2 linked regions of the Rattus norvegicus genome follow. The protein of the gene in region 1 interacts with the protein of each later gene in a pairwise test. Links are inferred from orthologs where the notes say so. Each region holds a gene or a part of one and is shown on either strand. Other genes may lie near its edges.

Region 1 (5,724 bases):
CTTCCCTCTTGCTCTCTTCAGAGCAAGAAATACCCCTTCCAGATTCCGCCTTACCCCCTTTGAGATCTTATATGGGGCCTCAGCTCCCCTGACTGTATTAGATGATGTTACTGAACCAACATGTCATAGTAATAATGATTTGTGTGCCAGGCTAAAAGACCTACAGGTGATACAGAAAGAAATCTGCTCACAGCTGACAGCAGCCTATGCCCCGGAGACCCCTGAGACATCCCATCAGTTCCAGGTCGGAAGCAGCTACACTGAGCCCAGACACTCGATCCTCGCTGGAAAGGACCATACCTGGTGCTGCTGACCACCCTGACAGCCGTCAATTCTCAGCCCTCACCAGCCGTGTACTAGCTGTTAGGGCTGAGAGCTGGGACCTAGAGAGAAATTCAGTCATGTTTGTCCTGGGTTCTATCAAGATAGGTGTGGGATAGGCTTGATTTCTATTACAAATGATGTAACATTACATATGTTAATACTCCTAACACTTCTTGGGACTGTGCCTCAGGGATCACAACCTATATAAGTTTAGAAGTTCTGAAAGACAGTCATGACCTTGGTATATAGGTTTAGATAGTGTCCAGATAAAATCCTGATGCTAAAGACTTTTTAGCTGACCTCCAAGAATACCTAACCTCCCTCTCAGAGGTAGTCCTTCAAAATAAGAAAAGATTAGACCTGATATTCCTTAAAGAAGGAGTCTGTGTGCTACACTGAAAGAATGTTGCTTCTATACAGACCATTCAGGAGTAATTAAAGACTCCATAAATAAACTTAGAAAAAGGTTAGACAAAAGACAGACAGAAAAACACATCAGAGATGGTTCGAGAGCTAGTTTAGTAGATCTCCCTAGATGACTACCCTACTCTCTGCTACAGCTGGGCCATTATTAATAATTTTCTTGGTTTTAGTCTTTGGCTCCTGCGTGACAAACAGGTTAATTGCTTTTGTTAAAAATTGAGTGGGTGCTGTGCGGTTGATGGTTGTGAGACAACAGTACCAGTCAGTTAGGACAACTGGTGAGACCAAATAAGACTTGATATCAAAATTCTAAGATTAGAATTATTTAGTAGGAGAAGACGGGAATGAAAAGAAAATTATACAAATTCTAGGTTTAGAAATATAAAATTAAAAGAGTTAGCCCCAAAAGCCACAAACTCAGGGCTAAGCCCTGCCGCCAGGAATAGCAGGCCATAAAGATAAAGAAAAGGAATGCAGGATCCAGCTCAGGCTATCGAGGACTGACCCATAAACCATCCAAAGACGTCCCCCCAGCTTACTCAGAGTCATACTTTAACCAGATGTCCTCCAGACCCTGATAAGCCCCTACTTGTGCTTTTCAGCCATTGTGTCCTGCAGAGAGCACTCCAAGAAACCGGGCAGCCCAAGCCTAACCAGAGGTGTTTCAAATACAAATGCTCCATCAGTTTTGACAAACGTTTAAAAATAATGAAGACCTGAAGACCCTACCCTTCTCCTGATTTAGTAGCTCTGTTCCAGGAACCAGGGGGCCATAAAACCTTCTGGCGTCCCCTTATCTCCTGGAGCCATAAAACAATCTTGTAACTTGTGGTACATTCCCCTTTGACATACCCCATCCCCTGGTGCTCACAGCCTCTGCCTTTAAATACTCTTTTTCCCAGCCTCTCGGGGCCGACACCTCTGTCTCCTGCGCGGGATACGTGTCGGCCCGGAGATCTCTGTAATAGGTCTCCGTAATAAACCTCGCCTTTGTTTATTATATCCAAAATGGTCTCTCTGTGTCTGGGGTCTGCGATTTCCCAAGACTTGAGTAAGGGTCTCTTTGCGTGGGATCTTTCAGGTGGTGCCATCCCTGGGCTAGGGGTCCTGGGTTCTATAAGAAAGCAGGCTGAGGAGCCGTGAGGAGCAAGCCAGTAAGCAGCATCCCTCCATGACTCTGTATCAGTTCCTGCCTCCAGGTCCCCACCCTGTGTGAGTTCCTGTCCTGACTTCCTTCCATGATGAACAGCAACATGGAAATGGAAGCCAAACAGACCCTTTCCTCCACAATGTGCTTTTGGTCACGATGGTTCATCACAGCAACAGTAACGCTAACAAGTTGTATCTTGAGACATTCTTGGAAGGGGGCAGGGGCTTAACAGCTGGAAATGGGGTACAAGAGGCATTAGGAGGAAGAAAGAGCAGGTGATAGCCGTGGAGCTGGACTTCGAGTTGTCTCTCGGGGACCCAGGAGCAGGCCCTCAGCTGTATAGCATGAGCTCTCTGTGCAGGCTGGGGAAGGGAGTTGGGGGAGTCAGGTGTACCTCAGAGATATAGGATGTGAAGCTCTGGGCTCATTCAGTCCCTCTGCCCAGCAATAATTGAAATAAATAAGTAACTAGAAACCTAGAGAGGGGTGTCTGATTGACTCAGCTGCCGGGGAGGTGAGGCATTGGGAGCCAGAAGCTTAAGTGACATGAGCTGGAGACACCAAAAGAAGCCAAAGAGGTACAAGGAAAGGAGCCTGCGGTGACATGCTGAGGGGACACACTAAGGAGTGTCTAAAGGAACATACTGAGGAGTGTCTGAGGGGACACACTGAGGAGAGTCTGAGGGGACACACTGAGGAGAGTCTGAGGGGACACACTGAGGAGAGTCTGAAGGGACACACTGAGAAGAGTCTGAGGGGATACACTGAGGAGAGTCTGAGGGGACACATTGAGGGTCTGAGGGGACACACTGAGGAGATTCTAAGGGGATACACTGAGGAGAGTCTGAGGGGATACACTGAGGAGAGTCTGAGGGGACACACTGAGGAGAGTCTGAGGGGACACATTGAGGGTCTGAGGGGAACACACTGAGGAGAGTCTGAGAGGACACACTGAGGAGAGTCTGAGGGGGACACCACACTGAGAAGAGTCTGAGGGGACACACTGAGAAGAGTCTGAGGGGACACACTGCGGAATGTTCAAGGGGATGCAGCCCCACCCCCACCCCAGCTTTCGGTTTCACCCCACCCACCAGGCCCCATCCCACCCCACCCACCATACTCACCTTCTGGTCATCTATCCTACTGCTGGCTGCTTTCATCTGTAGGGTCACCTCCAGCTTGGGGTCCAGAGGCCATTTGGAGGCCCCCGTGGTACTCTTCTTGGATGGAGGACCATGGATGACATCTACAACAACTTCTGGGGAGGCTGTGATGCTGAAGGACGTGGAGCCCCTTGGAGCAGAGCTGTGAAGCGACAGAGGCAGGCTGAGGCACCCATGATGAGATGGCCCACCGCCATGTTGGCCCCAGACATCCTTTTCCCAGCAGGAGGAAATGCAGGCCAGCACTGGGCTTGCCCTGGCCAGAGAGTGAATCTGGTAACGTTGCCAGGAGGGACTGAGAGCACAGAATGGCAGTCCTCTTGACTGGAGGCCTTACACTCGGACCAGAGAGACTGCAGAGGGAGGTGGATGTCAAAGGCACCTTCCACACACCCGTAGAGCAGTGTGCACACAGGGGACCATCACCAGTGGGCATGCCAAGGGGCATCACACACAGGGGGCTAGAGAGATGGCAGTACCCCTTCCCCCCACAAATAAAGACCCCACAAATATAACAACAACTGAAACAAAATCACACAGATTTCTGGAGTTCTGGCAAAGCAAATGTTCTCTGTGTGTGTGTGTGTGTTTGTGTGTGTGTGTGTGTGTGTGTGTGTGTGTGTGTGCGTGCGTGTGCCTGTACGTGTGTGAGAGAGACAGACACAGACAGACACAGACAGACACAGACAGGGTCTCTGTGTAGCCAGGCAGGGCCCGGAACTCACTCAGTAGACCAGGCTGACCTGACCTGTAATTCACAGAGATCTGCCTGCCTCTGCCTCAACTGTTGGGATTAAAGGCGTCACCACCACCACCACCCGTAGGAACAGCAGATCTTCTCCAGGCTCATCCTCATACAAAGCAACTGGATCAGGGGAGAGATACACTTTAAAATGCAACAGGAGTTGGGTTGGGCTGTGGTGGTGCAGTCCATTAATGCTAGCACTCCGGAGGCAGAGGCAGGTGGATCTCTGAGTTTGAGGCCAGCCTGGTCTACAGAGGTAGCTAGCTCCAAGACAGAGAAACCCTGTCTGTGGATGTGGGAGGTGTGTGGGGTGGGAAACGTTTGAAGGAGGAGAGAGAGAGAGAGAGAGAGAGAGAGAGAGAGAGAGAGAGAGAGAGAGAGAGAGAGAGATGAGAGAGAGAGACGACAGAGAGACAGAGAGAGACAGAGACAGAGACAGAGACAGAGACAGAGATGCAAAGGGAAGGTTAGTTCCGAGTCTTTTCCTGAGTCTTTGCCTTGGCAAGAAGGTGTGTCTGGGACGAGGGCAGGGTCTCCAGAGAGTTTAGGTTTCAGTTTCTGGGAATCTATCCTGAGAGACCAGAGCTATCCATCTAGAGGCTCCAGGCTACCATGTGCTTAATCTGCAATGCACTCTCGATGTCCCACGTTCTCTTTGTGCGTCACTGCTCCGAGAGCTTCCTGCTGACCTCATCCCATTACGTGACAGCCTTCTGTTGACTCTGCCCCTTTCCCCTGTAAGCTGGATAGAAGAAGCCGTACTTCTTAATAAACTCACTTAGCATTAACCACCAGCTTGAGTGTGATCTTCTGGCCTCGGCTTTGCCCTCTTTGTTTTTCTCATCTCCCGTCCCCTTGGGACCCTGTCTCTGAAGAACAACCTGCGGCTGGACCTGGTGGGAGGGCATTGCCGAGTGAACATAGCAGAAGGATTGTCTCCAAGGACACCTCTCTCCCCCCTCCTCTGGAATGCGTACACACACACACACACACACACACACCCCTCCAGAGACCTGCTGTAGCCAAGGTGCGGTCCTTGACACAGGGGCGGCAGCCTCAGCCTCCCTGGAAACTGAGGTGGTTTCCAAGGTTTACTCCCCAGATCTGCTGCTGCGTATCCATGGGTAGGAGCCCAGAGGTCTGAGCTTCCTCGTGTCTCCAGGGTGCTCCGGGCACCTTCAGGCATGAGAACCACACCCAGGAAGCTACTGATAGGGGCTGCTGAGTTACCCAACTGAGCGGAAGCTAAGGGATCAGGAACTCAGGCTCAGCGAGGCACACATAAAGTCGGTGGCTGAGAAAGCCTGTATTTTATTTTATTATGATTATTTTTATGAGGCAACTGGAATTGTTTCATTTCAAAGTCAACAGGACCTGCTGGACAGGGGGAAGAGTCCAGGTTTCTTTCTAAGAGACTCTGAGGTGAAGAAGCTGGGAGGTGGGGACAGGGAGGAGCTGCCGGCTTGGGTCAGCCAAACTCGGACAAGGGTGATGGAAAGTCAGTGGGAGTTGAGGAGTGACAAAGACAGCCACAGCGAGGCCAGTGGAGGAGGAAGGTTCCGCGGCAGGTGTGGAGGAGCCTGATTTCTGGAACATTCCCCATCCTTCCTCTTTTCCTCACACCCATCTTTTGACTCCACACCACACTCCAGGATCAGAGCTACCTACGGGAGCAAAGAGGGCAGAGAGGGACTTTTCCTGGAGGACTGTGGGAAAAGGTTAGGGATGGTTTGGAGCCTGCCCTGGGAAACCCGCAAGAGAATGAACAGACAAGTGTTTTGTTTTTTAGTATATCTCTCCCCTTCACTCCAAGGTGAGTCTAAGGTGATTAACTTTGTTCCACTCACTCAAAACACCACTAAGCGTAAGGTCTGGCCCTGTCTGCGCATGCGCAGAGACGGAGCAATACTTTGCCTAGT
Region 2 (6,200 bases), on another chromosome or scaffold:
TGAGAGGAAAAAAAAGTCTACTCTTGCTTTCATTCTACCTCAGAAGAAATCTGAATTAGATATTGGTAGTCTCAAACCTGGGACAAACAGCTGAGGTGCCTACTTAACATATCAAAGTAAACCTGGGGCCAGGTTCTCCCTGCATCCTTAGGCCCTACCTGTTAGAGGTCTTCCTGGCAGGCACACCCACCCCTTACCCTGAACTCTCCAGCCCAGGGCTTGGGCTGCTTTTTCCTATATAATCCAGCCATTTTGGTTACCTGCCATCTTGGGCATCCTGGATGCTGCACCTGGTTCTACTCTCTTATCTCTCCCCCTCTCCTCGAATGGCTCAGGGTCATGTCTGTCCACCCTAGACTCTCCCAGATGCCCCTGACACTGGCTGTGCTCTCTCATGTACCATACCTATAATAAACTTTCCCCTCCACCATACCTAGGAGCAGTCATGCTCTTTCCTTATTTCCTTTCCTTTCCCCTTTTCTCTTTTTCATTCATCTGGTACTGAAACCTGGGAGTGGCATAAATGAGTCATCCACTTCCCCCCCCCCAGCACCCCCCCCTAAGGAACTTCTCCCAACCAAGCTGCTGATCTGACTCTCCTAAGGTATGCCATCCAGGAGGGCCCTGACACAGGTAGGGACTGGGGGGGGGGGTGATGCAAGGAGAGCCTGGCAGCCAGCACCTGCATTGATATGTTAAGTAACTCAGCCATTTGTTCTGGGTTTGAAATCTAACAAATATATGTATTTATTTGGGTATTTTACAAGAATGTGTTTGGGTGTTTTATCTTTATGTTCGCATGTCTGTGCACCACTTGCATGCCTGATGCCCAGAGGCCAGAGGAGATTGTTGGATCATTTGGAACTGGAGTTAAAGATGGTTGGGAACTACCATACTGGTGCTGGGAATTGAACCTCGCTCCTCTGGAAGAGCACTCTCTACTCTTTTCTTATTTATAAAAAAATATATATATTGTTTTATTTTATGTATCCGAGTGTTTTGTCTGCAAATATTTGGGTACATCATGTGTGCCTGGTGGTGCCTCGTTTTGATCTCTTTAGTATGAAGTCCTCTCTGAGTCCTTAAGTTGAACAACTCTATTAATTGTTTTAATGCTCAGGGTTAAATTAGGTTCCCCAGAAGTAAAACAGGATGTAGTTAGTGCTCTCCTGGGCATTCTTAGGAGAGCCTGCAGGGTGTTGGAAGAAGTCATATGTTGCCTGTCGCCTGTCACCTGTCACCTGTCACCTGTCACCTGTCACCTGTCGGAGCTCAGAAGGAGGCAAGGCTCCTCCCTCCCCTGATCCCAGATCCCAAACCCCGTATGAGCCTGGGCCAGATGGAGTCCTGGCCTCTTGTGTCCCATAAAGGACTCAGTTGGGGACTAGAGAGATGGTTGGGCACTGACTTCTCCCAAAAGATGGGCCTTCAATTCTTAGCAGTCAAGGGATCCTATGCTGGCATGCAGACATACATGAAGACAAATCCATACACATGAAATAAATAAATTGCATACATATACAGTATATATACATATATGTTGCCTGTGGCCTGGTTGCACTTGCTATGTAAATCAGCTTAGCTGTAGGCTAACTGCAATTGCTAGACACTAACCCTTATCCACTCTGCCTCTCCTGCACCCAATTATTTTTAAAAGGAGGCAACAGTCTCCAATCTTCAGAAATAAAGTGTCGTTATTTTGTCCTTTCTTTTACCTTGATTAATTTTGTCTCCTCCCCTTGTGGTAGCTTAGAAACATTTAGGCTTCCAACCATGAAAGGATAGGTACAAGTCTAGATCAGCCTTCCTCCTCCTGATCCTCCAGCTATTAACCACACAGTAACCCACCTCCTCTAGCTACAGTTACTGATATAATTTAAAATAATGACCACATAGGTTTTGGTTGGCTGGAGAGCCAACATTGCCCACAGCGACCCATTCTTTGTTAAGTGAAATTGGAGGTTGCCTGTAGAGCCTCTGTTGCCTGCACCTGCCTCTGCTCATCAAGCGGTCATTGTACTTGCCGCGAGACGCATGTGTCCAGCAAGCAGCCAGAACCAGGCTGGCGAGCAACCAAGCAATGCTTCAATGGGAAGTTCAATGGGAAACTGGGAGTTGTTCCTAACCCCATTTCCCAAAGGTGACCTGTATTGCATCTGTCTTCTCTAAGGGAGGCATGGAACTACCAAGAATTTTCTGGAACGTATGTGGTAATGTGAAAAAAGGACATGAAATGTACCCTCGGATGTCATGTTCTGCTTTTCCAGTACACTCTAGACTGGCCTGGGCGCCTGGCTGGAGCCCCCGAGTGCGATGTGCGATCCCTGCAGGACCTGAGCCCGTGACCTTGGGATCGAGAACCACAGTGGAGTTTGGTTGTAAAAGGGTCAATCTTGAGTGGGGTTTGGCGGTGCAGTCTCAGGGTCCTTTGTGGGGTCGCTGTCCTTAGTGGGGTGGAAGGCCGAATGCGTGATCTGCCTCAGGCGTCTCCTGGTGCCGGAGAGGCGATTCCCCTGCCCCTCCAGCTGCGCTTCGCTTGGGAGGGACTTTCCCGTGGGCAAAGGGACAACCAGGAACTTGGGCTCAGTCTCCACCCCGAGACGGGGCGGGTCCTATTGGCCGGGACGAGGGTGTGGTCGCAGTCGTAGACTCAGCCTGTCTCCGCAGGAGAGGTAAGGGGCTTAGGCAGTGGTCCAAACCTCCGCTGCGAGCTCTGGGCTCTGGGCTCTGGGTGTGGGTCTTAGATTCCAGGCGGGTGTCCTAGGCTCCGACCTAGAGATCTAGACTTTATTTGGGGAATCCTGGGCTCGGCTACAGCTCCTAGGCTGGGGCCTGGAAACCTGAACTTAACCCGTGGATGTTGGGCTGGGCTGCCGGTCCTGGGCTCAGGCTTGGAAATCTTGGGCTCCCGCCGGGTGTCCTAAGCTGTGGCTAGGGATCTTGGACTCAGGGACCAGGTGCCGCGACCAGAGGCGGTTCTGTGGGCCACTTGGCGCCGCGCCCTGGAAACGTGAGGTCCGGGCCGAAGCAGCCACCTGGGAAATGTGGGAAGGAACAGGCAGTGCCGCACCGCACCGTGCACAGCACTCCTGCAGTCCTTTGCTGAGTCAAAGCCCCCGGGACTCCACACTGAGGATAAGCCACTGAGTTAACATTCTCTGAAGCTCACTCCAGCACGACTTGTGCTATCTTTTCTTTTTGCAAGTAAGTTTGCTTTCTCTTATTCTTAGGTCCTTCCTCGCCCCTCTTGTAGCAAACGGTTGTAGCAAATGGTCTTGGCGCAGTGCCTGGCACCCAGGAATCATCTTATTCTTAAGTTTTTCATTCTGTGTCTGCCTGTGTCTAATTTCTAACTCAGTCCTCAGTGCCTTGACCAGTCGGGGACTTCGGGGACTTCGGTGCCTAAAACAATTGGCAGCTTAACACTCTCCTGGCTCAGTGTGCACCCCAAGTGTATGAATGGAGGAGCACTCTGGGCCCTGAGCAACTGCGCCTTTCGTTAAGACTGGGCACTTGGGGCTGGGGATTTAGCTCAGTGGTAGAGCGCTTACCTAGGAAGCGCAAGGCCCTGGGTTCGGTCCCCAGCTCCGAAAAAAAAGAACCAAAAAAAAAAAAAAAAAAAAAAAAAAAAGACTGGGCACTTTAGCTGATGGTGGAAGGGTAGATAGGATGGCTGGTTGTTATCTATCCCGCTGCCCATCATTCCCAGACACCCTGCTTTCTTAGGCAGGAAGTAACTCTACAAATGGCTGTGAATCCCTAGGGAACAGAGGAAAGAAGAATGAGGAGGACCAGGCATATACTTCAGTTGGACAGCGTGCCCCTAGCATACCAGAAGCCTTGCATTTTATCCTTGGCTCCAAATAAACCAGGTGTACCTTTGCTTTTGAGGAAAGTTTGAGGAAAATGACAACCAAACCCAAGCAACACCCTTCTGAAAGCTTCCTGTTTAGATTTAAAAGGAATAGGATCCCAGTTCTTCAGGGCAATTGGTAGTTCAGGGTAATATTGGAGGCTAGTCTGGACTGCATGAAATCCGGCCTTCAAAAAAAGAAAGAACGAACCAACAAAACCCAAAACCAACATAAGGGTAGGTAGGGGCCGGAGGGCTGGGTGGTTAAGAGCTCTTGCTGCTCTCCCAGAGGACTGCATTTGAATTCCTAGCACCCACTTCAGATGGCTCACAACTGCCTGAAGCTCCAGATCCCATGTGTCTGATACCTACTATGGACTTGGAGAAAACACACACACAAACACACACACACAGACACACAGACACACAGACACACACACACACACAGAGACCCCCCACACACACAGACACACACCCTCACAGACCCACACACAGACACACACACATACACACACACAGACACACACACACACAGACCCACAGACCCACACACATACACACACACAGACACACACCCTCACAGACCCACACACAGACCCACAGACCCACACACATACACACACACAGACACACACCCTCACAGACCCCCCACACACACAGACACACACACACCCACAAACCCACACACATACACACACACACCCTCACAGACCCACACACACACACTCACAGACCCACACACACACACACACAGACCCACACACATACACACACACAGACATACACCCTCACAGACCCACATACACACACACTCACAGACCCACAACACACCCACCTACCCACACACTCACACACACACACTCACAGACACACACACACACAGACCCACACAGACCCACACACTCACACACACACACACTCACAGACCCACACACACACGCACATACACACACAAGTCATTAACTAAATGCTTTTGTAAAGAGCAACCAAGAGAGCTTGGGGAGCTAGATTGGGAAGCGATAACCACGGCCACCTGAGAGCCACTGACTTCAGTGATGGCTATCTTGCCAAAGCCAGTCAGATCAGGTTTCTGTTGATTTTCTCTAGTACCCAGTGGTACTAGAGACGCACAGCTATTACAGCAAAGGCAATGATTTCCTCCTACTGGAGTCTTTGCTTTGGTCAGGGACCATTTTCTTTTTCTGTGAAAGTAGTCTGGAGAGTACCATTCAGGGTCAGTCTGTGCCTGACACCCATCAGTATTCACAGGGTAAGCCTCTTGGTCCTCCCTCCAGCCAACAGCACCCACAGGGTGAGCCTCTTTTTTGGTCCTCTATCCCTGCATCCCAGGACACATTGCTTTGTTTGTGACTAGCCATTCCTTTCTTTTCCTGATCTTGCGTGCATGGTTACAGGCTCCTCTCCAAGGGAGATCAAGGTAAGGATCTGCGCACTGGAGATGGGTCACATGTCAAGGAGTGAGGGAAGCTACAGCGTGAATAAGCAGATTTCCCTTAAGTGCCAATCTCATCCAATTGTTTGATTAAAACCATGTTTCACATTTAAACAGTCAGAGAATTTGGGGGTGAGCCCTCAAATTATATTCTTTAGTTTATCTTTGATTTTTGAAATAGGGTCTAACATGTAGCCCAGGCTGGCCTCAAACTTTCAGTGTAGCCAAGGCTGTACTTGAACTCCTGACCCTATTGTCTCTGCTCCTGAATGCTGGGATTATAGATATACACAACCATACCTAAGCTTACGGAGGGCTGAGGATCCAACCTGAGGCCTTGTGCAGGCGAGGCAAGCACTCTACCACCTGAGATACATCTCCAGTCACCAAAATGATGAACCTCTCAAATCTAAAGTAGGAAGCTTTCAAAAAGTGTTGCTTGGGTTTGGGGCTGCCATTTTCCCCAAACCAAGCCCTTAGTGGTTTGTTCTCTCTCTCTCTCTCTCTCTCTCTCTCTCTCTCTCTCTCTCTCTCTCAGAGATTTATTTACTTTATTTATATGAATACACTATAGCTATCTTCGGTCAACCCAGAAGAGGGCATCAGATCCCAATACAGATGGTGTCACCATGTGGTTGCTGGGATTTGAACTCAGGACCTCTGGAAGGGCGGTCAGTTCTCTTAACCACTGAGCCATCTCTCCAGCCCCCACTGCTCTCTTGCAGTTAGAGCATGGAGGAAGTTTAACAGGCACCTCAATGGACTCCGTATAGTGTCTTTGAGTAGTGGTCAGCCTAGGCTCATTGTTCTAATTCCCCTCAGCCTGAGATGGGCTTGTGACCTGGAACAGGTGAAGAAACAAGGCTTCAAGTGCTGGCCCTCCAGTGGGTTGGG

The links.
Region 2: the proteins of Padi4 (region 1) and Anxa4 interact in binary tests that used the Homo sapiens proteins (3 or more experiments, as listed by UniProt). The two-hybrid records come from large-scale screens. The link is inferred for Rattus norvegicus from reciprocal best matches to the Homo sapiens genes PADI4 and ANXA4.

Annotation. Positions count from the first base shown.
Region 1 is NC_086023.1:158,349,749-158,355,472, forward strand, and holds part of Padi4 (protein-arginine deiminase type-4), read right to left. Parts: intron 5,007-5,724; exon of another isoform or gene 4,992-5,006; coding exon of another isoform or gene 4,819-4,991; intron 3,203-4,818; coding exon 3,022-3,202; intron 1-3,021. UniProt on the Homo sapiens protein: Catalyzes the citrullination/deimination of arginine residues of proteins such as histones, thereby playing a key role in histone code and regulation of stem cell maintenance.
Region 2 is NC_086022.1:120,794,939-120,801,138, reverse strand, and holds the start of Anxa4 (annexin A4), read left to right. Parts: upstream 1-2,625; 5' UTR 2,626-2,672; exon of another isoform or gene 2,673-3,204; intron 3,205-6,200. UniProt on the Homo sapiens protein: Calcium/phospholipid-binding protein which promotes membrane fusion and is involved in exocytosis.